Diceros bicornis minor: one gene and its partners. The protein of the gene in region 4 interacts with the protein of the main gene of each other region in a pairwise test. Links are inferred from orthologs where the notes say so. Each region holds a gene or a part of one and is shown on either strand. Other genes may lie near its edges. The genes, in order: GMEB1; PDHB; cytochrome b-c1 complex subunit 1, mitochondrial; TRIM63.

The links.
Region 1: the proteins of TRIM63 (region 4) and GMEB1 interact in a two-hybrid assay, tested with the Homo sapiens proteins (2 studies listed by BioGRID and IntAct). The link is inferred for Diceros bicornis minor from reciprocal best matches to the Homo sapiens genes TRIM63 and GMEB1.
Region 2: the proteins of TRIM63 (region 4) and PDHB interact in a two-hybrid assay, tested with the Homo sapiens proteins (2 studies listed by BioGRID). The link is inferred for Diceros bicornis minor from reciprocal best matches to the Homo sapiens genes TRIM63 and PDHB.
Region 3: the proteins of TRIM63 (region 4) and cytochrome b-c1 complex subunit 1, mitochondrial interact in a two-hybrid assay, tested with the Homo sapiens proteins (2 studies listed by BioGRID and IntAct). The link is inferred for Diceros bicornis minor from reciprocal best matches to the Homo sapiens genes TRIM63 and UQCRC1.

The regions. Positions count from the first base shown.
Region 1 is NC_080752.1:43,990,606-43,998,276, forward strand, and holds the start of GMEB1 (glucocorticoid modulatory element-binding protein 1), read left to right. Parts: upstream 1-4,390; 5' UTR 4,391-4,432; intron 4,433-5,007; exon of another isoform or gene 5,008-5,288; intron 5,289-7,671. UniProt on the Homo sapiens protein: Trans-acting factor that binds to glucocorticoid modulatory elements (GME) present in the TAT (tyrosine aminotransferase) promoter and increases sensitivity to low concentrations of glucocorticoids. Also binds to the transferrin receptor promoter.
Region 2 is NC_080741.1:58,309,302-58,317,243, forward strand, and holds the start of PDHB (pyruvate dehydrogenase E1 component subunit beta, mitochondrial), read right to left. Parts: upstream 3,463-7,942; 5' UTR 3,434-3,462; coding exon 3,392-3,433; intron 3,304-3,391; coding exon 3,250-3,303; intron 1,936-3,249; coding exon 1,828-1,935; intron 1,737-1,827; coding exon 1,674-1,736; intron 1,569-1,673; coding exon 1,533-1,568; intron 1,392-1,532; coding exon 1,106-1,391; intron 469-1,105; coding exon 358-468; intron 16-357; coding exon 1-15. UniProt on the Homo sapiens protein: The pyruvate dehydrogenase complex catalyzes the overall conversion of pyruvate to acetyl-CoA and CO(2), and thereby links the glycolytic pathway to the tricarboxylic cycle.
Region 3 is NC_080741.1:49,939,117-49,947,526, forward strand, and holds the start of cytochrome b-c1 complex subunit 1, mitochondrial, read right to left. Parts: upstream 3,212-8,410; 5' UTR 3,086-3,211; intron 1,610-3,085; 5' UTR 1,360-1,609; coding exon 1,291-1,359; intron 1,056-1,290; coding exon 912-1,055; intron 1-911. UniProt on the Homo sapiens protein: Component of the ubiquinol-cytochrome c oxidoreductase, a multisubunit transmembrane complex that is part of the mitochondrial electron transport chain which drives oxidative phosphorylation.
Region 4 is NC_080752.1:42,020,213-42,027,898, reverse strand, and holds the start of TRIM63 (E3 ubiquitin-protein ligase TRIM63), read left to right. Parts: upstream 1-4,124; 5' UTR 4,125-4,415; coding exon 4,416-4,574; intron 4,575-5,736; coding exon 5,737-5,909; intron 5,910-7,686. UniProt on the Homo sapiens protein: E3 ubiquitin ligase. Mediates the ubiquitination and subsequent proteasomal degradation of CKM, GMEB1 and HIBADH.

The DNA of each region.
Region 1 (7,671 bases), about 2.0 Mb from region 4:
TTTCAATGTTTAGGAAATGGTGTTTAGAGGGAGAAAAATGTATAACATGAAATTGTACATTCAAGATAATGCATCCAGGTAAAGGAAAAAAAGACACAGAAAAAAGATTGGAAGGAAACATGCCAGATGGTAAAATAGAAGTGTTTTTTTTTTCTCTGCTTCTCCATTCTTGTATGCACTTTACAATTTTCTACAGTGAACATGTAATTATAGGAAAAATAATTAAGTGAAAAAAATTTTAAAAAGCCTTCACATGACTTTCTCTCCTGTTAAAATAATCATCTTATTGCCTTATGTCTTAGTTCCTCCTTTCTATCAAAAAATTTTAAAGAATTGTCTCCACTCACTGTTTCCGCCATTTCTCCTCCCATTTACTACTTGATCCACTATAATCTTCCTTCCCAACCTCGGAGGAGACTCTACCCTGGAAGGATCAGCAATGACCTCTTAGTTGCCAAAACCACGGGCTTCTCCTTTGTTCCTGCCAGAGCTCTCTGCAGTATCTGACATCGTTGGTGCCATCTCGTCCTTCTGGAAGCCCCCTGCCTGCTCTCTGGGCTTCCTCTCTTCCCTCTGTCCAGGGACCTAACCTTTCCAAACACTTCTGGTCGGTTCCTGCAGGTTTCTCAAGGCTTAATGTTGCCCAGGTTCGAGCCCCTAGCCCCCTCCCTCTCTGCACACTCCTGTTAGCTGACCTCATCCCCTCTTGGCCTCTGTGGTCCCATCTACATGACAGGTCTCAAATTCCAGCCCTGGCCTCTTGCCTGGGACAAGTCAACCCAACCTCCTTTGGAACACCTTCATTTGGATGTCCCTTAAGCACCTCAGACTCAACAAGTCCAAACGGACTCGTCATTTCTACTTTCCCTCAATCCCCAACCAACTCTTCCTGCTTTGTTCCTTCACTGGGTCATCCTTGTCCCTTTGTCTCCCTCACTCCCCACATCTGGTTGGTCACTAACGTCTGCTGGTTCCAATTGGGAACTGCATCTGGAGCACATCAGCTCACATCATCATAGCGGTCTCCCCCACACACTAGTTTCCTTTTCCCAGTCCTTCTCCTTTCCAGTCCATATTCTATAATTTTTCTGGTCATTCATTCGATCAACAAACATTTGCCATACACCAAACTCTGTTCCAAATACTATGTGGGGTAAATGATAAAGATTGACACAAAATAGGTAAATAAACAAATCTAGGGGATTTCAAATTGTGGGGATTGCTATGAAGGTAAGCAGGGGGATTGGGAGAAAGGAACTAGGGCATGGGGAGGAGAGTTCTCTCAGATGTGGTCTTTGCCCTGAAATAGTCCCCCAAATGAACATGACAGGTGCCCTGATGGAACTGGGGGCAGCAATGATAGAGCAAATTGTGGCTGGGGACCCTTCTTTAGGTTGGGAGCCAGGGAAGGCCTGTGAAGAGTGAAAGATGAGAATGAGCTTCTCAGGACCTGAGGAAGGAGCTATCCAGATAGAGGGAAGAGCCAGTGACAAGGCCCTGAGCAGGGTTCACAAGGCCCTGGGCACAAAAAGGAGCCCAGGGTGTCTGGAGCACAATGAGAGAGGGGCAGAGAAGAGAAAAGGCAGGAAGGAGATCATGCATGGTGGCCCTGGTGGGGGAGTGGGGTGGGGAGGTGTCTGGGTTTAACTCTAAGTGCATTGGGAGGGCTGGCCCCGTGGCTTAGTGGTTAAGCGCGCACTCCGCTGCTGGCGGCCCGGGTTCGATCCCGGCGTGTACTGACGCACCGCTTCTCCGGCCATGCTGAGGCCGCGTCCCATATACAGCAACTAGAAGGATGTGCAGCTATGACATACAACTATCTACTGGGGCTTTGGGGGAAAAAAATAATAATAAAAAAATTATAAGTGCATTGGGAGGCTACTGAAGAGTTTTTAACAGGGAAGTCACATTTGACTTTATCTCTTTAATTTTTATTTATTTATTTTTTTCCCCCAAAGCCCCAGTAGATAGTTGTATGTCATAGCTGCACATCCTTCTAGTTGCTGTATGTGGGACGCGGCCTCAGCATGGCCGGAGAAGCGGTGCGTCAGTGTGCGCCCGGGATCCGAACCCGGGCCGCCAGCAGCGGAGTGCGCACACTTAACCACTAAACCACAGCGCCCGCCCAGACTTTATCTCTTTAAAAGATTACTCCCACTAGGTGCCTAGGGTGGATAGCATTTGGGGGTGGGGTGGATAGGGTTACTGAGTATTGAGAAATTACTGCAGTGGTCCAGGCTAGTCTGTGGGCCGGCGCTGGGTGTTAGCAGTGCAGTTGGAGAGGACTTAAACCCCACCTTGGATCCCCACCCCCTGCAGGATAGCTCCTTACTCCTTGACAACCTTCTGGTTCCAGCCTCCCTCTTCAGCCCCATCTCCTATCATTTCTTACTTCTTTGTCTTTGGACATGTTGTACTTTTTGGAATGCTCTTCCCCACTTTTCCCTTTGATGAACTCCTATTCATCCTTGAGACCAGGCTCAAACATCCCCTCCTCTGTGAAGTCTTTCAGGAACTCTCCAGGGAGAGTCCTTTGCACTTTTCAGTGGTTTGTTTCTATCTCTAGGATAACACCTGTCGCACTGTCCTGTCCTGTATGTTTACAATTCTGTCTCTGAAGGTGGACCAAGAGCTTCTGGAAGGCAGGGATAGGTTTTTGGTAAATGCTCAATGAGTGTTTGATGCATAATCAAAAGACACAGATGATCCCACTATGGAATAGTTCACATGGGTCAAGAGTCCAGTCATGACCAGCCATTATATTCAGAATCATCTGCTAATGTGTAAGTCCTTAATCATAAGAACAGATACTAACATGGGTACTAAGTCTCCTTATTTGATCCTGGAAACAGCCCTGAGAGGTGGGCACAGCGGGAAAATCATTTCTGTTTTACAGATGCGGAAATCAAAGATTAAGGGAGGTATAACTTGGCCAAGATCCCAGAGCTGCTAAAGCCAAGCCTAGAACCCAGGTTGTCTGATCCCCCCAAATTCAGTTCTTTTGTTTACTCCTGGGCTGCCTCATCTGTCTCTTGATCTGCCTCTTGATCTTGAATCAAGATCTTTTTTTTTTTAATAATTTAATCTATTTATTTTCCCCCAAAGCTCCAGTAGATAGTTGTATGTCATAGTTGCACATCCTTCTAGTTACTGTATGCAGGATGCAGCCTCAGCATGGCCCGAGAAGTGGTGCATCAGTGCGCACCCAGGATCCGAACCCGGGCCCCCAGCAGTGGAGTGTGCGCACTCAACCGCTAAGCCACAGGGCCAGCCCGAATCAAGATCTTGTAAAACTTCCTGTCACCTCTTCAGGAGGGAGGGGATAGATAGCAAAGATATGACTCACAGGAGGAGGCAAGATGGGGAAGCAATTCTCCTTCCCCCTCCGAAGAAAGTGCCCAAATACCACCACCTCATTTCTTCTTAATAAGGACAGCGACCATCTTAGTGGGTGGGTATAACCATGGACTCTGGAGAAAGAATGGCCTTAGTTTAAATCCTGGCTATACCATTTACAGGTTTTGTGACCTTGAGGAATTAGTTAACTTCTCTGGCCCTCCTGCTTTTTTTTTTTAATGTGAAAAAAAGTGAAAAGAAGTGAAAAAAGAAGTGAAAAGAAGCTACTTAGTAGAGTTCCTTCGAGGATTATATGGGACAAAAGCATCTTCCCCCAGGCCTGGCCATATAGAAAGGTCTTAGTCTTTGCTAATTACCATTACTGGCCCCAGGAATTTTCCTAAGCACTTTTCATGTATCACTTCTTTTAACACTCACAACAACCTTACCCCTTAGGCGAAATCGAGGCCTAGAGCGGTTAAATAACTCCCCCAAAGAAGTAAAGACTTGAACCCAAAACCTCACCAGGAAATGCTTGGCAAACGTGCATGGGTGAGAGAATGTAAGCAGCTTGCTCAGGGACTCGTGACCAGTTACTGACTATACTCAGCCAGATCTTTTGATTCCAAATTGATAGTTGGGTCATAACTTCTGAAGGTCTGACAAGATGTAAGCTTCATAAAACAGGATTTGGGGAGGTAAGAGGAGCAGAGTCCTCCAGTGGAGTCGAGAGACCTGCCTTTGCCCCCATTTGTGGATGAGGTGAATCTTTAATTTAGGCCTCATTTTCCTCATACATGAAGCGGGAGAAGGAGAGTTATTGGAGTCCCTAGCGTCCTTCCCAACACTGACTTTCCAGAGCGGGAGACCCCTGCTCAGCGAAAGGCTCACTCAATTCCCTCCGGCTGAGGTTCATCCTCCGCGGGACCGGCAATAGGGACGCGTCCCCTTTAAGGCGCCAGCTCGCCGGCGGCGGCCGGAAGTCTTGAAGCCGGGCCTGGCGGCGGCGGTGGCGGTAGCGGCCGTGGCGGCCTCTGCGCATGCTCCGTGGCCCGCCCGCCCTGGCCGCTCGCCGCCCGCCCGCCCGACGGAGACGGTGAGGAGGGGGAGGGGTGGGCGCGCGGGCGCGGGCGCGGGGTGGGGTGGGGGCGGGGGGGGCGGGCGCGGGGGCCGCGCGGCGGCCGGCGAGGGCGGGCGGGCGCGCAGGGGGCGGGGGGGCTGCTGCCTCCGCGGGCGCCTCCCCACGCCCTGTGCGTGCCGCCGCCGCCGCCGGGGAGCGAGCGGACGTCGCGGCGCCGCGGGGGGGTGGGGGGACGCTGCCGCTGGGTCCGCCCGAGCAGCCGGGCCGCCCCCAGCGCGGCTGGCCGCGCCGCTCGGGCTCGGCTGCTGGCCGAGAGCCGCGGGGGCCCGGGAGCCCGGCACTGGGGGGGCCCCTGCGCCCCTGGACCGAGGGGCCCGGAAGTCCTCGGCCGAGGGGCTAGGAGGGGCCGGAGCGCCTCCGGACTGAGGCCGGACGTCCAGGACCCCGGCGAGGGGTCCGGGGAGCCTGGGGTATCCCCAGAGGCGGGGTCCGGGGAGCACCAGGCCCTTCGCTGAGGGGCTGAGGAGAGGCCTGGGTGGCGCGCGGGGGGAGGGGGGCGAAAGGTGAGGGGAGCCTGGGTGGCCGCGGAGAGGAGCCCCTCGGAGCCTTGGCGGGCGCGCAAGAGCCGAGAGTGGGTTTTGCTGAGGAAAGGAGGGGCCGGGCTTCACCTGAGGGGCGCGTTAGAGGCCTCGGCCCTTCAGTCCGTGGAGAGAGACAGATGTTTTTCCGAAGGCGGGCGTGGTGACAGGTCTGGGTACAAGGAAGAAGAGCTCCCAGGGAAAGCGAGCAGCCCCTGCCTTCCCGTCATGAGGGGCCGGGAAGAAGACACCTCAGCGCCCCCTGAAGTAGCCATGAGAGGGAGATTTGATAGGTAGAGAACGGGGTCATCTGGTATGTCAGGGGGTGGGGGAACCCAGGTTTTTGAGGACCCTAGAGAAGATAATTGAGAGGAAGAAGCTTAGAGTACGCTTACTTTCTGAACTTGCCTCCTAATGGAGGGGCAGGAGAGGTGAGGGCAGAATCTTACTTGAGGGTCCTGGAGAGTGGTCCACCAGACAAGGCTTGTCAAGCCTTGACCCAGGGATCAGGGGAAGGCTTGGCTATCCAAGGAGCAGGAGGAGGCCTCAGCTCTCCTCTCAAGATGAGAGAGATCGCAAAACCACTTCCTGGCAGACCCAAAAGGGGCCTGGATTGGTGTCTGTTTACCAGGACCAAGAAGTGGAGTTTTCCTGCTTAACCTGGAGGATTGGAGAAAGGGACGACCAGATAATTCTAGCCTCACAGAGGGATTCTTTTCTCCCCCCTTGCCTCTGCTAATGGTTACCAAAGTGCTTTTGGGGGACTTTTTCATTAAATGTTTGGACTGTCTTCCCTAATTTGTGGGCTCTTTATGAATTATGCATATTTAATGTCTACTGACTTGATGACATTTTCTTTAGTCAGCAACCACTTGGGGGCCCGCCCCGTGGCTTAGCAGTTAAGTGCGCGCTCTGCTACTGGTGGCCTGGGTTCGGATCCCAGGCGTGCACTGACCCACCGCTTCTCCAGCCATGCTGAGGTGGCGTCCCACATACAGCAACTAGAAGGATGTGCAGCTATGACATACAACTATCTACTGGGGCTTTGGGGAGAAAAAGGGAAAAAAAAGGAGGATTGGCATGGATGTTGTTAGCTCAGGGCTGATCTTGCTCACAGACGCACACACAAAACAAAAAAAAACCCAACCACTTGTATTTACCTCAGCAACATATATGGAATAGTTAATTTGTACTTAACTAAGTTGGGCTAGTTTGGTCCCTCTTTTGGTCTTATGCTGTAGTGGGTCTTAGACTGTAGTGGGATGACCCTTCAAAGAACCCTTTTATTCCATTGCTTCCCCAAACACTTACATAGTGTTCTGCAACATGTGACTTACCCTGAACTTCATTTGCTCTGTTTCCCTCACAGTGGTCCTGTGTAGCCTTCTTGTTGGCTTCATTACATCTGGTAGCATTCTGAATCACCTACTAAATATATGAGAAGGAATAAAGAAGGAAAAAAAATCAAGGAGTCTTGGTCTCAAGTAATAATAAAGTTTTAACTTTATTTCTTAAGTTTCTTAAGAATAGACTACAAAACAGTCTACAAAAGTTACAAACAGTGTGGAATAAATACATTTTTGGGGTTAGAAAATTTCAGGATATCTGGTATTTTTATTACTCCTTTTCAGCAACCAACTCTGATGTCCCTGTGATCATGTGACACTTGTGCTTACATCTTGCCATGTTTTAAATGTTGGTTTTTCAGGACACAAAAAGTAAATTTAATCCAGAGTAGGTCAGATGTCATTGTTTAGTTTTCCAATAGCTTACGTGAGTAGTCATGCACTTACTTTCAAGGTCTCTTTTTTGTCTTTGAAAATAACTACAAAATAATTTTTGCTTTTCACATAAATTTGACATAATTCCTTTATGTGTGTTCCCCTAGAATTATAGAAAGTGTTGTGTGATTCCACAATGAATTCTCCAAGGCCCCTTCCATGAAATACCCAAAGGATCAATTCACTCATCTTGCATTAGGAGTTTTTGTTGCTATAAACAAGAGCTACTTTTCAGTTTACACTCAGCTCAAAGAGATGACCTTGCAATTAGCCACTGTAGTCTGTAGAGCTGGTTTCAGGTTACTTGCTAGGAATATGGTATTTAGGGTAATAAGAGATATTCAACCTAAACTTGCTCCTCTAAAGAATGTAAGAATTGCGATGTTGGATCAGACCTGTGTCTCTGACTGACACTGAGAGACATGTTGTGGATGATTATAATTATCTTCTCTGATATACTCTCAGAAGGTTAGAGAAGCAGCCAGAACATTCCTCTTGGGTTCCAAGGTGTGGGAGGGGTAAGGAGTAAAATATGAGTTCCTATTGAGGAAAGTATTAATCAAGTAGTTAGTCAACCACTTATTCAGAGTGTTGTAGAGAGAACTCAACCTTAGGGTAGAAGGTTGAAACTGGAAGCATCTTTCTAATTCTGCTTCTCTAACCCATTAAGTTACCTAAGCTATTAATTTTTAAAAATTTAAACGACCTTTTTGGAATAATAAATTCCACTTTTGGAATAATAAATTCCGTAAGTTTGTTACCTGGTAAAGTATTACATCTTTTAAATTAATTAAATATGTAATAGTAACAGACAATAAATGAATGTCCAACAAATGTTAGCTGTGATTATAATTTTAATTCACCCTACATTTTTGTGGTTCAAGCTTTGAAGATA
Region 2 (7,942 bases), on a different chromosome or scaffold from region 4:
CAGTTATGTGTGTCCCTGAAACAAAGTGGTCACAGATCAGAGGTCAGGTTGAAACTAAAGGCGCTGTACCACTCTGCAGACAGCTGTGGCTCTTGTTCATTTGTAAAATCTTCAACTCAACTTCATTCCAGTGAGGAGTGTAGCAGCCTTCCTAGAAATGAAACAAAAATCTACCAGACTGATATTTAGAAACGCACAAGTGTATGAGCAATCAGGGCATGACACATCCTTAACTTGAACTCATCCTATAACTTCCTAGTCAAAGCAAAGGGCAATAACCTCTAGATTGAATTTGACCAACATAAACAGAAGGGCTGGATTACAAATAATGTTTAAATGTATACTAAATTCTCTTACCTTGCCTTTCTATTTTGGCTTTTCCAATAGGAACCAGAAAATCTTTTGACTGAGCTTCTGAGGAAAGTTCAAAAGGAACTCCATACATCAATTCATTCTCTAGCATCACCACTGCAAAATATAAACAAAAGTAACTACATGACTAAAAATGTATACACAACATTATTATTCATTTTGTGAAAAGTTTCACTGTGCTGATTAGGAAGCCTTGTATCTATCTATCTTGGCCAGCAGCCTTGAAGATGGTTTAGGTACTGATATTTGTAGTCTGGTCAATCCTAATTTTATCTATTGAGGTTAAACCAGCGTTGTAAGTGTGTAGTAAATGTTTCCTATACCTTACTGGCCCCCTTATAGTCAGAAATAAGAAAAACATTTTTTACTATTTTTATTCTATCTCTACATCATTAACATTTATATGATATGTCTAAGCCTAACTAGAAGACTTTAATGGTTCCTTCCATGCAAAGATTTCACTTTAGTTCTTTTTCTTTTTTAATTCTATTTATTTATTTTTCTTCCCCAAAGCCCCAGTCAATAGTTGTATATCATAGCTGCACATCCTTCTAGTTGCTGTATGTGGGACGCAGCCTCAGCATGGCCGGAGAAATGGTGCGTCTGTGCATGCCCGGGATCCGAATCTGAGCCGCCAGCAGCGGAGCGCGCGCACCCAACTGCTAAGCCACGGGGCCGGCCCTCACTTTAGTTCTTTAATGTTCAAAAGAGACCCAAGGCTTACTCTGCTGACCTGGATTGTTATCCCGAATGGCTGATTTAATAAGTCCTTTTGCATCCTCTGAATTCCAGGGGCTGACCACCTTTAAGCCTGGGCAGTGCCCATACCAGGCAGCAAAGCACTGTGAGTGCTGGGCAGCTACGCCGGCTGAGGCGCCATTGGGCCCCCTGAAGACTATGGGCACAGGCTGAAGGCCCCCTGACATGTAGTAGGTCTTGGCAGCAGAGTTTATAACCTGGTCAATGGCTTGCATAGAAAAATTGAAGGTCATAAATTCACAAATGGGCCGCAATCCAGCCTGTCAAATAAAAAACACAGATGTTAAAAACAGCAATGAAGAGTGGCAAACAACCCCTCCGCTCTTCCAACATTCAAACGTTTTTAAAAGGTCATGTTAAAAGAATTTCTTTGGATCAGATTCATAAAGAGGATTACATACCATAGCTGCCCCTACAGCAATTCCAGCAAAGCCCATCTATAAAGTAAAACACAAACATAAGTGAAAATCCATAGAAATTATAACAGCGTACACTTTAATAGACATGCCCCTCAAAAGTCAGCTTCCTGATGGAAGGCTCACCTCAGATATGGGCGTGTCTATGATCCTCTTATCTCCATATTTCTTCCACAGGCCTCGACTAACCTACAATTAAGCATTGACCCCATTACTTTTAAGTGTATCTGGGGGCAAACGGCCACCTCAGTTTTGTATAGCTTTCCCGTATCTTGGTTACCTTGTATGCCCCATCATACTGGGCAACTTCTTCCCCAAGAAGAAACACCTTCTCATCTCTTTCCAGCTCCTCATCCATACCTTGATTTATAGCCTCACGAACTGTCACCTGTCACAGGTATGGGAAAACAGTCAATAAGCTAAAGGATTATTTAGGATACTATTGAGAGTCTCTCTCTTTATAATCACCTAGGCTGTCCATAGCATACCATATAAAAATTACCACTGGAACAGGTTTCTCTTTAAAAGTTCAAAGAATTCTAAAAGTAACATTTCTATCACACACAGCCAGTCTTTGGTTGGATGTGTTAATGAGAAGTTTACTGAACACTTTTCTTGACGTGCACCTAAGCTTAAAAAATCTGCTTGCTGGCCAGACCAGCTCATAGGCAGTTTCCCAAGTAGAAAGTATAGTGGTTTGTTTTATTTCCACACGTGGTGTACTGTGGGGCAGAGAACTGTCAAGAAAGCATAAATAATACTACATACTGACAACTCACTAGGTGCCAGGCACTGCCAAACACTTTGCCTTCAGGATCTAGGAGTTATTTTACTATACAGGTTGGTAGAATTCTCCAATAAAAAATAAAAGGAGGGGGGAATTCCTCAAAACGTAGAACACAGAATTACAATATGATCTGACAATTCCCGTTCTAGATAATATACCCAAGTAGAGACTCATACTTGCACACCAACGTTCACAGCAGCATTATTCTCAAATCCAAAAAGTGGAAGCAACCAAATGTCCATCAACAGAGGAATGGATAAATAAAATGTGGTATACGCATACAATGGACTATTATTCAGCCTTAAAAAGGAAGGGACTTCTGACACCTGCTATAACATGAATGAACCTTGAAAACACATAAGTGAAATAAGCCAGGTATAAAAGGACTAATGTATGATTCCACTTACAGGAGGTACCTAGAATAGATAAATTCATAGACACACAAAGTACAACAGAGGTTACCAGCGGCTAAGGGGAAATGGGAGTTATTGTTTAGTGGGCACAGTTTCTGTTTGGGATGATGATAAAGTTCTGGAGATGAATGTGATGATGGTTGCACAACATGGTGAACATACTTAGCGCCGCTCAAGATGCACTTTAAAACGGTAAGTTTTATGTTATGTATATTTTGCCACAATAAAAAATTAATAAAAGGGGGTCAGGGAAGAAGCGTAGTCTCGTTTCCTCAGATCGCCCATCTGATTCCAGTGAGCCTCGCGGGGGTGACATGCTGCTGTGATTGGGGACTGGCCATCACAGAGGCAGCACCAGTCCGACGCGGGACTCGGTAGACGCCCAACGCCCGCGGCCACCCTCTGCCCTCGGTGCCCACCCGCCACAGCGCAGGCGCGACCCCGGCCTCCGCCGCGGGACCAGGGGCCCCTCCACGCCCCGGCTAGCGTCCAGGCCAGTTACCTGTAGCGCCGCCGGCGCCGTCCGGTGAAAGCGTCTCCTCAGGAACCCGGAGACCTGGCGGGGAGAGAGAGAGGACGCTCAGAGGGGACGCAAGGTGGGCAGGGATCGCGCAGGGTCCCGGGGCCCGCGCGCCGCTGCCTACCTGCTCCAGGGGTCTCCGCACCAGCCCAGATACCGCCGCCATCTTGACCGTGTCCTCTAGCGGCCGCCGAATGACAACACAGCGGGGCCGCGGGGGCGCCAGGCCCCGCCTCCCCCGCCGGCACCGGCCAATAGCAGGGCGCGACGCCTGCGTGCCCCGCCCATCCCCTCCCCGGGTGAGGGGCCGAGGGGCGGGGCCGAGGTGGCGCTTGGGCTGGGCCTGCCGCACTTGCTCCGGCGACTTCAGTGAACTTTATTGAGAGTGCGCTGCGGCTGACATGCGGACTGCACGCTGGGGACACGTCCCTGGGTGGTGTGGGATGAAGCGCGGGGACCACAAGTCAGACACTAAGGAGCATAACTCGAGGCTAGAGGGCCAGCCTTCTGCGGGCACTGAAATCCTTTGGGCACCAAGTAGCGCTTGCACACACTCCAGTGGCGCGGCACTTACTGCATTATGAGCGATCCTACTTTTCTCTGGACAGCAATGTCTGTTGGTCCCTTAGAATGCGAACAAGAGCTTTCACTGGCGCATTAAGCGCCTACTGCATGCCAGGTATTGTAGGGAAGTGCTTTATTTACAGCTCATTTAATTCTTAGAGGAACCCTCTCAGGTAATTTTGTTATTATTATCTCCATTTCGCAGATGGGTAAACTGAAGCAGATTGGTTAAATGAGCCGGGATTTTAATTTAGGACTGTCTGACTTTTCCCATTGCTTTCTGAGGCAGAAGTTGGGGTCCCGCCTGGGAGGAGGTTACAACAACTTGCATTTAGAGAGGACCGTATGAAGCCAAATACTTGACTAGGGGCAGCATCTGGAAGCTTCCTCTCATTGGTCTCCGTTCGACCCTTGGGGGTCAGGCGGGACCACTGGGGACTCCCTCAGTCCTCACTTATCTCCAAGACATTCCAGACAAAAACCTTCTGTGGGCTGCATGCTGCTGGTCTGCAACCTCAGAGTCTGGGTTGTATCTAAGGGCTCCAGGTGCCACAAGGAAGTGACTAGATCTGCTTGGTGAGGGAGAATGAGGTGGAGGATGAGGGCAAAAGCAGGGACACCCCAGGGAGTGTTAGGCAGAGAGAGAGCTGGACTAGGGGGCCGTTTCAGGGTGAAGAGGAAGGGACAGATTTGAGATCTATTTGGGACTAGAATCAGTAGGATTGCTGTGAGGGAAGGGAAGAGTTGGGGAAGATTTCGGGTTTTTTGTTGTTGTTGGGTGGATGGGGGAGGGGTGGAGCCTGGGACCAGGTGGGAGGTTAAGAGTCTATTCTGAACAAGCTGAGTTTAGATGACTGGGCCATACCCAGGTTGGATAGAGGAGTCTGGAGCTTGAGGCTAGGTAGGGCTAGAAATATAAATTTGGGGACAGCTGCATAGAGATGGCCTTTAATCTCTGGGCCTCTGCTTCATCATCTGTAAAATGGAGAGATAGTCTCTAAGGTATGGAGTCAAGACCTTCCGTGTCTCCCTCACCTGGTGCCACCATCTAGTCCCTTCAGTCCTTGGCAGGAAACCTCAGCACTTCCCCACAGCCCCAGCATCCCTGAGAAACCCCTGAATTTGAGATGTCAGCCGTCAGGGAATCCTGGTGAAAAATAAATGAAAATCAATAGGACATATTGGAGTATATGAAGAAGCCATTTGATTTAAAACTAATTTGACTTGACTTTGTTTTTCCAAAGTGCCTGATGTGGCCTGTTGAGCATGCATTGTACATCTGCTTTAAATATTTATAATTTCCCAAAGATAAGAATGATGCCATTAAAGATAGGGATGTAGCTTCGCCCCACATTGGCATTTCCTTAAGGATAAGCATCTCTTCCTAGAAACTAAGGATTAATTACCAATCTGTTATGCTCACCTCGTGACCATTGACCTGCTGACCACTGACCTGCTGTGCCAGCTAAGCATCTTGTGACAGTAGTAAAAGAGATATTCCTATCATATGTGATGTATGCTGTTTGTTCCAAGGCAGTATATAACCACTCTGTACACTCCATTTCTTAGGTTTGCTTCCTTCCTTGGGGAAGGAAGCTCCCTGGGTTATAGTTCTCAGACCAGGCTGGTAATAAATTCACCCCCAATTTTGATTTATAGATTGATTATGGATTATTTGTGTGGACACTGGATTCTGCTTAGAATGAAAATGTGAGTCAGCTCTCCCACCACCCAGCACTGCAAGACTTCGGGATTAAAATTACAAAGCAAAAGGAGATCTCGAAGTGAAGGAAGAATGACCCAAAGAGAAGCCAGAATCTGGACTGTTTTGTCTAGACAAAGGAGAGTGTTCTGGGGCCATATTTATACAGAGATCCAAAATCGCCAGGAACACTCAGTCTGTGCAGCTAGTCTGGCCAGCTCAGTCAGGAAGACAGTGCAACTCCACAGGACTCAGCTGGCCTCAGCTGAAAATCTTCTTTTGAAATGATGGCTGTGGGCATTTCAAATACATTAGGTATATTCATTGGTACATGGGCTTTCCTTTCAAACTCTATAAATGGCCAGTTTGGAAAAGCTAGGCACGAATTTCCCTTAAGTGTAGAAGACACAAAAGATAAAAGTGTGAATTTTAAATCCATAATCATTTCAAAAAGTCTACATTCATATGCTCACTAGAGTTTACAGAAAGGGATTGGAAAGTATATATTGGCCAATCAGGCCATTTCTCTCTTGGAATGAAATCTTTCCAAAGTTATAGGAACATTTGTCCTCAAGTCACTTTGGTTTGTCAGTTGTCAGAAAGTCCTTTGTCCAGTTTTCGATATCTATGGACATGACCAACTTTTTTTGTCATTGCAAACAAGGTTTATTAAAGGGGGCTTTTCACTCCTTCTACCTTCTTAGGTGTAACTTAAATACAGTAAAATGCACATTTCCGTCACCCCAGAAAGTTCCCTCATGTCTCCTCCCGATCATTCCCCACACATCACCCCACAGGCAATCACAGATCTGATTTCCATCATCGTATTTTCCTTTGCCTGTTTTAGAACTTGAAATAAATGGAGTTGGACGGTGTATACCCTTTTGTATCTGGCTGCGTTAGCTCAGCAAAATGTGTTTGAGATTCCTCCTTGTTTTTTTTTTTATAATTTTATTTATTTATTTTTTCCCCCAAAGCCCCAGTAGATAGTTGTATGTCATAGTTGCACATCCTTCTAGTTGCTGCATGTGGGACGCGGCCTCAGCATGGCCGGAGAAGCGGTGCGTTGGTGCGCGCCCGGGATCTGAACCCCGGCCACCAGCAGCGGAGCACGCGCACTTAACCGCTAAGCCACGGGGCCCGCCCCTCGTTGTTGTTAAGTATCAATAGTTTACTCCTATTTTTTTCTTCTGATTTTTTCTTTTGTAAGACTTTAAAACTCACGAGAAGTTGCAAAAATAGTACAAAGAATTTCCATGCACCCTTCACCCAGATTTGCCAAATGATAATATCTTTTATAACCATACACATTGTCAAAACCCAGAAACTGACACTGGTACAATACTATTAACTTGGATAGAGACTTTATTCAGCTTTCACCAGTTTTTATATGCATTCTTTTGTGTGTGTATGTGTATAGTACTATAGAATTTTATCACGTGTACAGATTCATGTAACCACTACCACAATCAGAATACAAAATTTTTCCATCACCAGAAAGAACTCCTCGTGTTTCCTCAAAGTCACACCCTCCCCCACCCCTAACTCCTGGCAATCACTGATCTGTTCTCAATCACTATAATTTGTTATTTCAAGAGTGTTTTATACATGGAATCATACAATATGTAACTCGTTGAGATTAGCTATTGTCACTCAGCCTAATGCCCTTGATCCATTCAAGTGTTTGCGTGTATCAACATTTCTTTCTTTTTTATGGCTTACTAGTTGAATGGCTATATCACTTTACTCATTCATTCATTGAAGGACATTTGGGTTGTATCTAGTTTTAAGCTATTAATAAAGCTGCCATGAACATTGGTTTGCGGGGTTTTGTGTGAGCATAAGTTTAACATTTCTTCAGGTAAATACCCAGCAGTACAACTGTATGTTAGGTGTGTGTTTAACCTTTAAGAAATTGCCAAGCTGTTTTTCCAGGGTGGCTCTACCATTTTATGTTACCTCCACAAATGTATCAGATATCCAGTTGCTCTGGATCCTTGCCAGAACCTGATATTATCAATATTTTTCATTTTAGCCATTCTAATAGATGTGTGGTAGTATCCCTCATGACTTTAATTTATATTTCCCTAATGTTTAAGGATATTGAACATCTTTTCATGTGTTTACTTGCCATCCATCTTTGGTGAAGTGTCTGTTCAAGTCTTTTGCTCATATACTAATTAGATTGTTTTTTATTGTGGTAAAATATGCAAACATAAAATTTACCGTTTTAACCATTTTTAAGTGTACAGTTCAGTGGCATTAGATACATTCACACTGTTGTTCAACCACCACCACCATCCATCTCCAGAACTTTTTTCATTTTCCCAAAAGGAAACTCTATATCCCACTTCTGAGTAAAATATCTTTTAGAATTTTTGCATATTTCTTTCCCATATATCCATATGC
Region 3 (8,410 bases), on a different chromosome or scaffold from region 4:
CTACTTTCTTAAGAGATGTGGACATACATACCCTATGTCATAAATTCTTACATAAACGTCTATTTCACATCTAACATCTTGGAAAGGAAGGTGCACTTTACAATCCATGGTATCCTCTGATTATAACTGACAACATTCTCTGGCACTAGCACACAGTGATGCTCCTGACAATCTAGAGCATCTTAAGAGTCCATGGAACACAGCATTCTCTACCAAGCTTTCTTAACAGGCTTTGGGTCGGTTTATACAGGTGCCACATAACAAGGAAGCTGCCCATCACCTTTTGCTGTATTCAGTAACAACTTATATCATAGAACGTTATTTGTTCCTGGAAAACTGAAAGCAGTTACCAATAAAACCACTTAGCCATGGAGTTTGGGGTGGGAAGGAGGAGGATTACTTCTTGAGAATCTTCTTACCTATTCATATATCTAGCCAAGATTTCTATCCTTGAGTCAATTTTTAAGATTTTTTTTTTTCGGAAGATCATCCACTGCAATGGAATCTTCAAATGTACTTTTTCCGCAATGCATTCCTGGTCTAGCCAGAAGATTATGACTTTGGGCTGTGAGGCAGGCAGTCACCTAATGTCTCTGAACCCCATTTTCCTCGTTGTAAAATGGAAACAGGATCACTTCTCTCATCTAGGCTGCTTAAGAAAAAGCTGGAAAAGAACCTGGCCTCCTGGTTCACAGGCAACATATGCTAAATGAGTGCTGGCTATAGTGAGGACTGCCCCCAAGAAGTCAAAGCGTAGGTGGTGTCGGCATTGGGGTAGAAGATCAATCCAGTGGTGAGTGAGCAGGAGTCTGACCCAAACCAGAGGACTCGAGCCCAAGGTCACAGCCCGACCTGGGAAAAGACGCCTGGCCCAATATGGAGGCGTCCTCCCGACAGCGGCCCCCACTCACCGTGCAGGTAGGCTGGGAGGACTGCTCCGAGGCCACTCGCAGCCCGCTGTCCAGCAGGCTGACCTGCGTCTCTGGCACGCTCTGGAGGGCCTGGGCGAAGGTGGCGGTGCCCCGGAAGGCAGGAGACCTCAGCAGGGCGGGCTGCTAGAAACGGGCGGCCGCGAATGAGGACTGAGTTGGGAGATCGCTCCTCAGCTGCCATGCCCACAGTGGGATCCCCGTCCCCGCCCCCGGGCCAGCCGCGAGACTCCCAGCCCCGCCCTGGACCGTGACCTTCCCACGGCCCTGACCCCGCGACCTCCTCGATCTTGACCCGCTGCAACTAACAGCCCGCTCCCCGTCCGCGCTCCGTAGCCCTGCGCTCTCGTTGCCACCTCACCGAGCGGCGGGTGCACAGCAGCACTCGCGTCGCGGAGCAGGCCGCCCGGCAAACCACGGAAGCCGCCATCTTCAAGCTCCAGTCGGCGTTGGGCCGCGCCACGCATGCGTAGAGTAGACGCGGTGGCGCCCCAGGCGCAGGCGCAGTTACGCAGCCTTGGCGCTCGGCCGCCCCCGGGGGGGAATCCGGGATATTTACTCCGGGCTGCTTGCTGGCTCTGTCGGCGCGTCCGCCGGTACGTACGTGCGTCAGTCCGTCTACCTCTCTCTTCGTCGTTCTACGCGAGTCCGTCCGCAGTCTAGTCCTCTTCCCCTTTCACCTATGGGAGGCAGAGTTGGAGATGTTTCTCACGAACCGCGGGCGCTCCAAATCCACTGCGTGTCCGCGGATCACGGCCCCGGAGCAAAAGCATCTACGTGGAATCCTGGGACTACGAGGCAGCTGCTGAAAGTCACGATTCTCTTTTAAAAAATGAAGTAAATTCAGACGGTTGACATGGAAGGAACTTAACGATATATTGCTAAGAAAAAAGGAAGAACTTAGAGACCAATTTGTGAAAAGGATTCCTTGTTTGGAAAACACACACACACACACACACACACACACACACACACACAACAAAACGACGTGCCTCTTCAGATAGACTACATAGAAAGAAATCCGGAGGAACTCACTCTAAGCTTTCAGCCAGGTGACTTCCGGAAAATGGGTGCAGAGGAAGGAAGAGAAAGCTACCATTTTTACCTTCCTGTATTATTTTAATACAACTTTTTTTTTTTTTTTTTTTTTTTTTTTTTTGGTGAGGAACATTAGTCCTGAGCTAACATCTGTTGTCAATCCTCTTCTTTTTTACTGAGGAAGACTGGCCCTGGGCTAACATCCGTGCCCATCTTCCTCCACTTTATGTGGGATGCTGCCACAGCATGGCCTGACAAGCGGTGTGTCAGTGCGTGCCCAGGATCCGAACCAGGGCTGCCAGCAGTGGAGCACGCACACTTAACCACTACACCACAGGGCCAGCCCCAGAACAGTTTTGTATTTACAGAAAAATTGAGCAGATAGTACAGAGTTTCCTATATATACCGCCATACACACGTGCACAGCTTCCCCTATTATTAACATCTTACATTATTATAGTACATTTGTTACAATTAATGAAATAATATTGGTACATTATTATTAAAGTCCATAGTTTATTCAGATTCCCTTAGTTTTTACCTGATGTCCTTTTTCTGTTCTAGGATCCCATCTAGGATATCACATTACATTTCATTGTCATGTCTCCTTAGGCTTCTCTGGCCTGTGACACAGCCTCCTACAGTGACCACCGCATTCTGTACCATCCTTCAAGCAGAGCTCCCCCAGAGAGCTCACTATGTGCAGTTCCTCTCCTCCCATTCTCTCCCAAACCCTCTCCATTCCAGTCCCCACTTCACTCCTCCAAAACCACACCTGTCAATGTAATCAGTGAGCTCCATGTTGCTAAATCCAATGGCCAATGCACAGTCTCATTTAAGGTGATTGGCCACTTCTTCCTCCTCAGAGCCTCATCCCTTTTCCGCCTCCAGGTTCCCATGCTATTCCCTTCTTTGTCCTACCTCCCTGGACTCTCCTTCTTAGCAATTCTGTTGGTTCCTCCTCACCTCCTGAGTTTTACACAGTGAGTGCCCAGGGCTCAGTCCTGGCACCTCTTCCCTTCCTGATCAAAACTTACTCCCTGGTCATCTCACCCAGCCTTATGGCTTCATTGCTGTCTATATATACAATGACTCCTATATTCCCACCATTTACTCACCATCTCTCCTGGAGGGCCATCAGACATCTGAGTTAAGCATTGGAGCTGAACTTTTCACTTTCCCTTCCAAACTTGTTCCTCCCATAATTATCTTCATCTCAGTAAATGACACTTCCGTTAACCCAGTTGCTCAGGCTAAATATCTAGGAGCCCTCTTTGACTCCTCACTTTCAAAATCCACACCCAATCCTTTAGCAAATTCTGTTCCAAATAATTTCTCAATCCAGTGACCTAGCTCCCCTTCCCCACCCCCACTGCTACCCCGGGATGAGAAGGGAAGGCCAGTGAGACAACCAGGAAGTGAGATGTTGCAAATGCCCAGGGAAGGATGTGTTTCAAGAGATTGGTCAAAAATGGAAATGTTACTAAAAGGTCAAGTACAAGTAGTGGCCATTGCAACGATTTGGCAAGAGTCTTCGGTGACTCATTGATCTTCTGGAATTTACTTGGTATATGGAGTGAGGTGAGGTCAAAATATCCTTTTCCCTCCTAAATTGCAAACTGAATTTTGGGACAGCATTTCTTGACCAGGCCTCCTTTCTCTATCCATCTCTGAGACTCCCTTTATTACTCCCTGAGATTCTCACACCTGTAACCAGGTCCATGCAGACTGCCTGAGAGGGCTCTGACACTCACCTTACTCTTCTCACTCAGTATTTGTTTGATATACTCACCATTTTTTTCTTCTGGATTAAAAAAAAAATTTTTTTTTGAGGAAGATTAGCCCTGCACTAACATCTGTTGCCAATTTTCCTCTTTTTCTTTTTTCTCCCCAAAGCCCCAGTACTAGTTGTGTATCACAGTTATAGAGTCGTAGCTCTTCTATATGGGATGCCACCTCAGCATGGCTTAATGAGCGGTGAGTAGGTCCACACCTAGGATCCGAACAAGCAAACCCCGGGCCACCGAAGCGGAATGCGTGAACTTAACCGCTACGCCACCAGGCCAGCCCCTGGATTTTTTTATTTTTATGTTATTTCTTTAATTTTAGCTTTAACTTGTGCTACCATATACATAAAATTTAGCATCTATAACTGTATAGTTAATAGTTATCAGTGGCATTAACTACATTCAAAATGTTGTGCAACCATCACCACTATTTCTAAAACTTTTTTGTCACCCAAAACAGAAACTCTGTACCATTAAGCAATAACTCACCATTTTTCCCCCTTCCTCCTTCCCCTGGTAACCTCGATTCTATTTTCTGTCTTTATGAACTTGCCTATTCTAGATATTTCACATAAGTGGGATCGTACGATATTTGTTGTTAAAAAGACAACAGGCCCAAAATAGAGTCACTATGCTAAGCCCCATGTTACCAGACCAAGACAACTTAATTAAGTTAAGAAATGGAATCTTAAACCAGTCAATCAGGAATTGCCTGATCAGCACTAGTTAGTCCATCTGCCTGATAGACCCCTGCCATCCCCTACAGGAAAGTAATTTTGCAATAACCAACCCACTTTTTTGTCTAATATAACCTCCTTGTTCCTGCTCCCTTCTGCCTATAAAGGTCTTTCATTTTGTGCAGCTCCTTGGAGCTCCTTTCTATCTGCTAGATTGGATGCTGCTCAATTTGAATTGATTTTGCTCAAATAACCTCAAAATTTTTAATATGCCTCGGTTTATCTTTTAACGTTGTCCTTTTATGTTTGGCTTATTTCACTTAGCATACTGTCATTTATCCATTCATCTGTTGATGGACACTTGGGCTGTTACTACCTTTTGTCTATTGTAAATAATGCTGCAGTGAACACTGGCATACAAGTATCTGTTTGAGAGCCTGCTTTCAATTCTTTTGGTATATACCTGGGAGGGGTATTGCTGGATCACATGGTAATTCTATGTTTAGTTTTTTGAGGAACTGCTAAACTGTTTTCCATAGTGGCTGTATTGTTTTACATTCCCACCAGCAACGCACAAGGGGTCTAATTTCTCTACATCCACACCAATATTTGTTCTCTTCCATTTTTTTTCTTATAATAGCCATCTTAATGGGGGTGATGTGATATCTCATTGTGGTTTTGATTTGTATTTCTTCAATGACTAGTAATGTTGAGCATCTTTTCGTGTATTTATCGGCCATCTGTATATCTCCTTTAGAGAAATGTCTATTCAAATCCTTTGTCCATTTTTGAATTGTGTTGTTTTGTTGTTGTTGAGTTGTAGGAGTTCTTTATATATGCTGGATATTAATCCCTTATTAGATATATGATTTACAAATATTTTATCTCATTTTGTGGACTGTCTTTTTACTCTCTTGATAGTATCCTTTGACGCACAAAAGGTTTTATTTTGATGAAGTCCAATTTATCTATTTTTTCTTTTATTGCCTGTTCTTTTGGTGTCATACTTAAGAAATCATTGCCTTCTCCAAGGTTATGAAGATTTTCATCTATGTTTTCCTCTAAGAGTTTTAACTCTTAGATTTAATCTTTTAACTCTTAAATTTAATCCTTGGTACTTTTTAGTTAACTTTGTATATGATGTAAGGTAAGGGTCCAACTTCATTTTTTTGCATGTGGATATCCAGTTTTCCCAGCACCATTTATTGAAAAAACTGTCTTTTCCCCATTAAACAGTCTTGGCACCGTTGTTGAAAACCAATTTACCATACGTGTGCAGGTTTATTTCTGGTCTCTCTATTCTATTCCATTGGTCTATATGTCTATCCTTATAGCAATACCACACTGTACTTTTTTTTTTCTTGTGAGGAGACCAGCCCTGTGCTAACATCTGCCAATCCTCCTCTTTTTCTGCTGAGGAAGACTGGCCCTGGGCTAACATCCGTGCCCATCTTCCTCCACTTTATATGGGACGCCACCACAGCATGGCTTGCCAAGCAGTGTGTCGGTGAACGCCCGGGATCTGAACCGGCAAACCCGGGGCCGCCACAGCAGAGCACACGTGCTTAACAGCTTGCGCCACCAGGCCGGCCTACCACACTGTATTGATTATAGTACCTCTGTGGTATGTTTTGGAAATCAGGAAGTATGAGTTCTCCAACTTTGTTCTTCTTTAAGATTATTTTGGCTATTCAGGGTCCCTTGAGATTCCATATATTTTAAGATGGGTTTTTCTATTTCTCTAAAAAAACACCGTTGGGGTTTTGATAGGGATTGCATTGAATCTGTAGACCACCCTGTGTAGTATTGTCATCTTAACAGTCTTAAGTTCTCCAATCCAAGAACATGGAATGTCTTTCTACTTATTTATGTCTTCTTTAATTTCTTTTGGCAATGTTTTGTGGTTTTCAGCATACAAGTCTTTTGCCTCTTTGCTTAAATTTAATCCTAAGTATTTTATCCTTTTTGACACTGTTATTCATGATTTTTTTAAAATATTCCCTTTTCAGATTGTTCATTGTAAGTGCATAGAAATACAGTTGATTTTTATATGGATTTTATATTCTTCAACTTTGCTGAATTCATTTATTAGCTCTAACAATTTTGGAGTTTTCTACACATACCATCATGTCATCAATGAACAGAGATAATTTTACTTTTTCCTTTCCAATTTGGATGTCTTTTCTTTTTTCTTTCTTGCATAATTGCTCTGGCGAGAACTTCCACTACTATGTTGAATAGTAGTGGTGAAAGTGGGCATCCTCATCTTCTTCCTGGTATTAGAGAAAAGGCTTTCAGTCTTTCACCATTGAGTATGATGTTAGCTGTGGGTTTTTCATATATGGCCTTTATCATGTTGAGGAAGTTTCCTTCCATTCCTAGTTTACTGAGTGTTTTTTATTAAGAAAGGGTGTCGAATTTTGTCAAATGCTTTTTCTGCATCAACTGAGGTTATCATATGCTTTTTTCCCCCTTCATTCTATTAATGTGGTGTAGTGCATTGATTGATTTCCATATGTTGAACCATCCTTGCATTTTGGGAATAAATCCCACTTGCATCCCTCTTAATATGCTGCTGAATTTGATTTCCTAATATTTTGTTGAAGATATTTGCATATATATTAATAATATAGATAGTAGTTTTCTTTTCGTGCAGTGTCTTTGTCTGGCTTTGGTGCCAGAGCAATGCTGGCCTCATAGAATAAATTAAGAAGTGTTCCCTCCTCTTCAATTTTCTGGAAGAGTTTGAGAAGAATTGGTGTAAATTCTTCTTTAAATGTTAACATAGATTTATAATTATTGTTTTATGCATTTGCCTTTTAAATCATATAGGAAAAAGAGAGAAGTTACAAACCAAACTTAAAGGGCATTAATTCTGGCTTTTATGGTTACCTAGGAAATTACCTTTACTAGTGTTCTTTGCTTTTCATACGGCTTTGAGTTGTTGTCTAGTGTCCTTTTATTTAAGCCTGAAGGACTCCCTGTAGCATTTCTTGTAGGATAGATCTACTGGTAATGAACCCTCTCAGCTTTTGTTTATCTGGAACTGTCTTTATTTCTCCTTCATTCTTGAAGGATAGTTTTGCTGGATATAGAATTCTTGGTTGATGGGGGGGGTTTTGTTCAAGACTTTAAATATGTCATCCCACTGCCTTCTGGCTTCCATGGTTTCTGAGTAGAAATCATATGTTAATCTTAGTTAGAATCCCTTGTACATGAGGAGTCACTTGTCTCTGTCTTTGAGTTTCAACAATTTAATTATAATGTGTTTCTGTGTAGATCTCTGAGTTTATCTTACTTGGAGTTCATCGAGATTCTTGGATGTGTATATTCATATCTTACATCAGATTTGGGGAGATTTGGGGCATTATTTATTCAAATATTTTTTTCTGCTCCTTTCTCTTTCTTCTCCTTGTGGAACTCCCATGATGCATACCTTGTTCTGTTTGATAGTATTCCACAGGTCCATCAGGATCTGTTTATTTTTCTTTATTCTTTTTCTTTCTCTCCTCAGACAGGATAATTTCAATTGTCTTACCTTCAAATTCACTGATCCTTTCTTCTGCCTGCTCCAATCTGCTGTTGAACACTTCTAGTGAGTTTTTCATTTCAGATATTATACTCTTCAGCTCCAGAATTTATTTTTGGACCCATTTAAAATTTTCTCCCTCTTTATTGATCTTCTAATTGCATTCAGACATTGTTTTCCTGATTTACTTTAGTTCTTTGTCTGTGGTTTCCTTTCACTAATAATTCCAATGCCTGGGCTTACTTAGGGATAATTTCTGTCAAATTGTTTTTTTTTCTTTTTTCTGTGAATGGGCCATACTTTCCTATCTTTGTTTTATGATTTTTTGTTAAGAGCTGGACATTCTGAGTAATTCTGGAAATCTAATTCTTCCACTCTTCAGGGATGGCCGATTTCTGCTTGTTGAGGTGTGGGACCGTCTATTTATGACTTTTCCATACTACCTTTACA
Region 4 (7,686 bases):
CAACTGTCTACTGGGGCTTTGGGGGAAAAAAAGGAGGAGGATTGGCAATAGATGTTAGCTCAGAGCCAGTCTTCCTCAGCAAAAAGAGGAGGATTAGCACAGATGTTAGCTCAGGGCTGATCTTCTTCACCAAAAAAAAAAAAAAGAAAAAGAAAAAAACATAAGATTAGTAAAATGTTGATAAAAATTGAAGAGGGTTTGGTCACATGAGTTCATTATACTATTCTCTCTACTTTTGTATGTTTGAAATTTTCATAAATAAACAGTAAAAATAAATAAATGAGAAGATGTGTGGAGAGGGAAGCAGTAAAATGTGGTAGTTAAAAGCTCTGGGCTCACATGCACCAGTGGTATTCCACGTTTGTCTCTTTATCTCTGGGTCCTTAGCTTTACAGTATGTTTCAATAACCGGTAATGATACTGGTTTATAACTTCTTCGTTCTGATGCTGGCTCTGCCACTCATTGGCTGGGGGACTTTGGCCAAGTGACTTAACCTCTCTGAGCCTGTTAGGTCGGCTGCGAAAGAGGGAAAATCATGACCTATGCCTCACTGAGTTATTTTGAGGACTGAACAAGAAGATGGATGGAAAGGGCTTAGCACAATGTCTGGCATGCAATAAGCACTCAATAAATGCTTCAGTGAGAAGAGCACAGGTTTAGGACTCGGGCTACGTTGGATATGAACCCCAGCTCAGCTCTGCCGCTTGTGGCTGTGTGACTTTGGCCAAGCCAGTTAACTCTCTGAATCTCATTTCCTCTGGGGAAAAACAAAGATTATGATATCTTCCTTGCAGGACTGTTGTGAGGATTAAATGACAAGACAAGTTTTGATGGCCAGCACGGCCCATGTGGGAATTTCCCTCCCTCATCCCTTGACTTTCAGCAGTGCTAGCCTTGCCAATGCCAGGCTGGAGTCGATCCCACTGTCCGTTTGCTTGGCTTTTGCACCTGGCCTGCCAAGTGTGGCTGGAGAAAGTCAACAGAAGCATGCGAATGGCTCCTCACAAATGGCAAATCCCCGCTGGGAAACGTCAACGAGGCTCTTCTGCCCCCAGACAGCCCTTCCACCCCTCTGTAGGGCACTTCCTCCTGTGTTTCACACTGGCTGGTCAAAACTTTTTCCCCCACCCGCTCACGCTACCCTCCCCCTGCCTCAGTCTCAGAAGTTGACCTCAACTCTCTCTTGACCAAGGTCATCAGTATGAGCACCTTTCTCTCCACCCCCGACACCCCTGATTGTCGCCTCCATCCTTTCCTCTCTCCTATCCTTCCAGCTCAAAGGTTGGAGTGTCCTTCTCCTTCCCAAGGCTTTAGAGTTTACTCCATCAATCCCCCAACCCCAATCTTCCAGTACTTTTTCTTCACTGGCTGCACTGTCTCAGCCAAAAAATAACTTGCTCAAGGACGTTAATCTTCCCCAAGTCTGACAGTGACCTGCTGCTCCCTATTTAACTCACTCATTCGCTCGTTCACTCATCTAAGAAATATGTGTTAAGCGCCTACTATGTGTCAGATACTGGGGGTACAGAGATGAATAGAGACAGTCTTTGACCTCAAAGTCTTCAAAGTCCAGAGGGAGAATCAGACTCACAAACAGATGATGGTAAGATGACAAGTGAGATGGAAAGATGGACCCGTGCTTAATGCTGAGATTGACTGAGTGTGCAATGGACGGAAGGGGGAGCCCAAGGATGGCTCTCAGCTTTCTGGTCTGTGCAAATGGGTGAATGGTACTGCTGTTCACTGAGACATGAGACAAAGAAAACAGAAGGAGGAGCTAGGTGCGGGGGAAGATGGTGTGTTCTGTTTGGGGTATGACGAGTTTGGGGTGCCATTGGAACATCCCAATAGAGATTTCCAACAAATCTTTAGCTTAGGGGAGAGAGAGGTCTGAACTGAAATTAGAGACTGAGGATCGTTGGCATATAGGAGTTGGAATCATGAACATATATGGAGTGCTCTCTGCTGCAAGTAACAGAATAATTGCACTATCATGACATGTATTATCTCACATCTTAAATAGTCAAGAGGCAGGCAGTTCCAGAGGTGGGTAAACGGGCAGCATAATGATGGTGTCAATGACCCAGGTGCTTTCTATGGTTCCTCTTTGCCATTCTCAGAGGTTGATTTCTTCCTCAGACTTGTCCACTCTTGGTTGCAAGGTAACTGCCCCCTCTCTCACAACCCCATTCACGGGCAAGAATGAAGCTTTCTTCTTGCATTTCTTTTTTTATCAGGGAGAAAATCTTTTCTCTGTAGCCCTCCTCCACCAGCCCTTGCATCTCCTTGGCCACAACTGTGTCACTTAGGCAAAGGAGGACAGGATTACCATGATAGGTGTAAGCCTTTGTCTCCTGTGTCAGTGGAGAGGGCTGCCTTCCTGGAGAACAGTTCTGCCAGATTCCTGAACAAAACTGAGGTCGTGTGAGCAAGGAAGAAGGGATGGCTTCTTTTTAACCCTCATCCTCCTCCAACTCCTCGCTGGCCTGGCAGTGTTGACCTACAGTTCAATAGAGACATGAGGAGCTTGGGCTCCTGAGTCAAGCATATCTGGGTTAATGTCCTAGAGCCACGTCTTGCAAGCTGTGTGACCTCATACATAGTTATTTCACTCTCTGTGCCTGAGGTTCCTCATCCGTAGCATGGGGATATAATAGTTCTTACGTTGTTGGCTGTTGAGATGGTGAAATAAAACAATGCACACGAAGTGCTTGGCACAGTGCCTGGCACATGGTAGGTGCTCAGCAAAACTAGCCATTCACATTTTGGGGGGACCACCCTCTCCTTGAAATTCCCCAGCCCCTTGTCCTCTAGGCCTCCACCTCTTTCTCTGACTGGGTCCCCCTCTTCCCCTTCTCCCTCCCATTTCCTCTCCTTCCCAAAGTTGGCTCCTCTGCCCTCGCTACTCACTAAGTCTTCTCCAACCGTCAACTCTTCTCCAGGCTGAGGGGATCAAACCTAGTCTCTTGCCACTCCTCTTTCATGAGATCTTGGACCCTCCTCCTGTATGTTCTACAGCCTCTCAAGCTCATCCTGAGGCCTGATGTCACTGCTCCCACTCTCACCCCAGTGCCTTATAGTGATGGCCCCAATATCCCTTTGCATGAGATTCACCTTAAAAACAGCCATTGGAACTGCTCCAATGACTTCTACTTGCCAACATGGAAGATGTCCAGAAGGACATGGAGAAAAATTTAAATTTGTACAGAGGGGGGCCGGCCCCTGGCATAGCGGTTAAGTGCGCGAGCTCCGCTGCTGGCGGCCGGGGTTCGGGTCCCAGGCGTGCACAGATGCACCACTTGTCAGGCCATGCTGAGGCCGCGTCCCACATAAAGTGGAGGAAGATAGGCACAGATGTTAGCCCAGGGCCAGTCTTCCTCAGCAAAAAGAGGAGGATTGGCACAGATGTTAGCTCAGGGCTGATCTTCCTCACAAAAAAAAAAAAAAATTTGTACAGAGGACAAAGGAGAGCATCTGGATAACTTCTAAGTGTCTAGGTAGGCATTACATAATAGTTATTTCTGTCTGTCTCTCTCCCTACACTGTAGGAATCTCAGGGCAGGGAAAAGGAGTACTCATTTATCTGTCACTTTGGCGCCTGATGTATAGTCAGTACTCAGAAAAATGTTTGATGAATGAATAAGGTTCCTGGCTTTGCCACTTACTTTCTAAGTGACTTTGAATAAGCTCCTTTCCTTCTAAACCTCAGCGTCAAAATCTATACAACGAGGGGACTGGACTATGTCTTAAGGGAGCCCTTCAGCATTAAAGTACAATTAGTGGCCAAGGAATGGAGGGATGGGTTAACTGGGGTGGGAGTTTCAAGGTCTCCAGCAACATGCTGTGCTCAGGGATGGGCTCAGAGAAAGGGGCTGCCCTGACCCTTCATCTTGGGGGCTGCCTAGGACTCCACAAGGGGGGGACCTGATTTAGGTTAGTGAGGGGACACTGGCTGTTAACCCCACAAATCCCAGTGGCCCACTCGCTGGGTCCCGTCCCTGGCTTACCAGCCTGTTGTGGGAGGAAACTAATTTCTGGAGGAAACTTTGGGTGCCCCTCCCCCAACCCTGCCCACAAACAGGCTGTTCTTGTTTACGACCCCCATCCCAGGGGAACAGGGATTGCTCATCGCTACATGTGATTTGAGAGGGCCGGTCTTTCAGGCCTGGAAGAAACTCAAGCCCCGCCAGCCGCTTGGCATCGGAATGCTCAGCTGGTCCCCTCCTGGGGCTCATGTGACCGGGGTCCAGCTATAAATATCAGAGGGGCCTCAGCCCAAGACAGAATTCGGGCGCCAGGAGAAGAAGACAAAGAGGCTCCGGGTGGGTGTTTTGTGACACAGGCAAGACCCCAGGTCTGCTTCGAGTGAGGCCGGTGGAGGAGGCATCCAGGTGGGGCCACACCTTCCGACAATATGGATTATAAGTCAAGCCTGATCCAGGATGGGAGCCCCATGGAGAACCTGGAGAAGCAGCTGATCTGTCCCATCTGCCTGGAGATGTTTACCAAGCCGGTGGTCATCTTGCCGTGTCAGCACAACCTCTGCCGGAAGTGTGCCAATGACATCTTTCAGGTCAGTGCGGGGCGGAGCCTAGTTGCGGGGCCCCAGGTGGCTCTTCAGTTTTCCCATAAGGAAAGCCCTTCTCTCCTAGCCCAGGACTCTTCCAAACTGGGGTTGGTTTTTTCTTCTCCTAAGTGACCCCCTGCTGAGGCCTCTGGCCTGGCTGAGGGGGGCTAGGGAGGTGGCTCTGGCTGCCCCATTCCTTCTCCATGACGCATGTTTCCCCTCCCCGCCCTGCCCGCAGCTCCCCCACCCGCATCCTGAACACCGCAGTTGACTCTCCAATAGGAGTCAAATGCCTCGAGTGATAAGAGGGAGAGGCAGGCAGAGACGAGAGAGAAACCAGACCCCTGGGGCCGGAGCCAGCTCCGTGGTGGCAGGGCCCCAAAGCTTTAGGAGGAGGGTGGCTGGGAGGCCCTGGGCAGTAGAGACGTCTTCCCCTTCAAGGCTGTTCTCTATAATATGGGGGCAGGAGAATCTCCATCTCCCTAAGAAAGGAATGGGGGTGGAGGTCCTGGCTGGAGGCAGGACTCAAGTTTCCCCAGAAGCACTTTACAAAATGTTCTCTCACTTCTTTATCTTTAAAGTGGCAGCCCTAGGAGCTGGCTCTAATTATAGTGCCCATTTCGTGAATGGGCAAACTGAGGCTTGGAGACATGAGGTTGCTTGCCCAAAGTCATTCAGAGAAGAACCGTGACTTAAACCTAGGTCTGCTGACTCCCAAACCTGTTGACTGCTTAGTTGCTCCTCAGGTGCTCCCTTTGTAAGTGGGCTGGCGAGCTCCAAGTCACATGGTGTGACAAGAATGGTTGAGGAGCCTGCCCTGATGGCCTAGTGGTTAAAGTTCAGTGCGCTCCACTTCGGCAGCCCTGGTTAGGTTCCCAGGCGTGGAACCACACCACTTGTCTGTCAATAGCCATGCTGTGGTGGTGGCTCACATAGAAGAACTAGAAGGACTCACAACTAGGATATACAACTGTGTACTGGGGCTTTGGGGAGGAAAAAAACAAAAATAGAGAGGAAGACTGGCAACAGATGTTAGCTCAGAGTGAATCTTTCCCAGCAAAAAAAAAAGAATGTTTGGGGGTAAGCAGAGGGAAAGACAATCAGAGATTAGAAAGGGGAGGGGCTGAGGAGGGACCCCAGGCCTCATGTCTGCCCTTGCCACCCGCAGGCTGCAAATCCCTACTGGACCAACCGGGGTGGCTCGGTGTCCGTGTCTGGAGGCCGTTTCCGCTGCCCCTCCTGCCGCCATGAGGTGATCATGGATCGTCACGGAGTGTACGGTCTGCAGAGGAATCTGCTGGTGGAGAACATCATTGACATCTACAAGCAGGAGTGTTCCAGGTCAGTCTGCCTGGCTGCTGGGAGCCCATCCTCTCTCCCCACTGTTCTCTGCCCAGCCCTCCCAGGCTCCTTCCTCCTTCATCTGCTTGGGATCCAGTCCCGTAGTTGGGCAAGATACACTAGCCAGTCCAGAGAGCCATCCCCTCTTCCTCAGGCAGGAACAGAGGCTCATCTCTGTCCTCCAACCCTGGCTCTCTGTGTCACTCAGTGAATGGGAAAGGGCCCAGATGTTAGGCTGCCCTCTTGGGAGATACTGAGACAGAAACTGGGGCGAAGATGAGATACGAGAGGGAGAGAGAGGACTGGGGCTAGCTAAGTGGCCCTGATAAGCAGAGAAGTGCCCAGCGAGAACACAGCCAGTTTCTCTATAGTGATAGCAACAGGTATCGTCCCATGTGCCCGGACGCACAGCCTGGGGCACCGGGAATGCTTCCTCCTGCTCCTTCACAACAGTCCTGTGGGTCAGGCATGACTTTTATCATCCCCATTTCACCAGTGGGGAGGCTGAGGCTCAAAGAGGTGAAGTCAGTTACCCGAGGTCTCCCAGTTGGGAAGCGGAATTGCTGGGGATGGACCCAGTCGATTTAGCTCTGAGTCTCCCTGTTTGTAAAATAGCAGCTCAGCCTCAGGCGGGATTTGTGAGTGGGGGACATTGTGCAGTCCCCTGTGTCTCTCTCAAACGGAGAGAGACACAGCTACCGGGGAGATCTTTACAAATCAGGACATCCTAACAAGACTTCCAGGCTGCTGACCTCACAGCCTTTATGGTCCAAAACCTCCACCAAGTGCCGGCCTGCAGGTGGCGTCCTGCCCAAAGAAAGATGGCAGACCAGTCCTAGTGAGAAAGAGCCCTGACCTGGGGAAGGGTGTTTGCTGGTCTGACTCTGTTACTAATGCATTGTAGGATCTTGAGTAAGTCTTTGGGCCTTCATTTCCCCTGTCTGAAGAATGGGACAGTAAGATTTGTTATTGTGATTATCAAATAGGATTTTGATGGGAAATGTTAAAAACAGCAAATATTTATTGAGCACCTACTGTGTGTAGCCACTGTACTAAGTATTTTCCATGCATTATCCCTATTTAATTCTTAAAATAATTCTATAAGGAATTCTTGCCCTCATTTTACAGTGAGGAAGTGGAGGCTCAGAGAATGTCAGAGGCTTGTCCAAGGCCACTCAGCAGCAAGTGGTGAAACTGAGAGGGAGCCTATCTGACTGACTCCATGGTGAACATTCCTAACCGATATTGCTTCTCATGTTGCTGGAGTTCAACACTACAAAAATGCAAATATATTGTTGATCATTATAATAATAATAAAATCAATATTGTACGAAAATATTAGCCCACCCAGTGTTGACCTAGGAAGAACACGTTGTGTTTGCCCTTCGAGGCTTTTCCACATAGTTGAATGACAGTGATAGCTCCCCTCTATTGAGGGTCTGCTCTGTGCCAGGGCCTACACATTCATTACAGTCAACTCCTGCCATTGACCCCAGTACCTCTGGGATGAAACCAAGGCTCAGAGAGGTGAAATCTCTTGTCCAAGGTCACAAAATGAGTAAGTGGCAGAACAATCTGGATTTGAACCCAGATGTTGATGCCTGGGCTTGGGAGGATGGGCATCTGGGATGGCGGTGGGCATAGGCACCAGACCCTCAGGATCTTGCCTCACCTCTGTACTTACTGCCATCCCAGAGATCCCTTCCTAGGGGATAGAGACAAGTGGCAAAGGGAGACCTCTGCCAGCATGGGGAGTGGGTGGTGGGTGGCCTTGGGA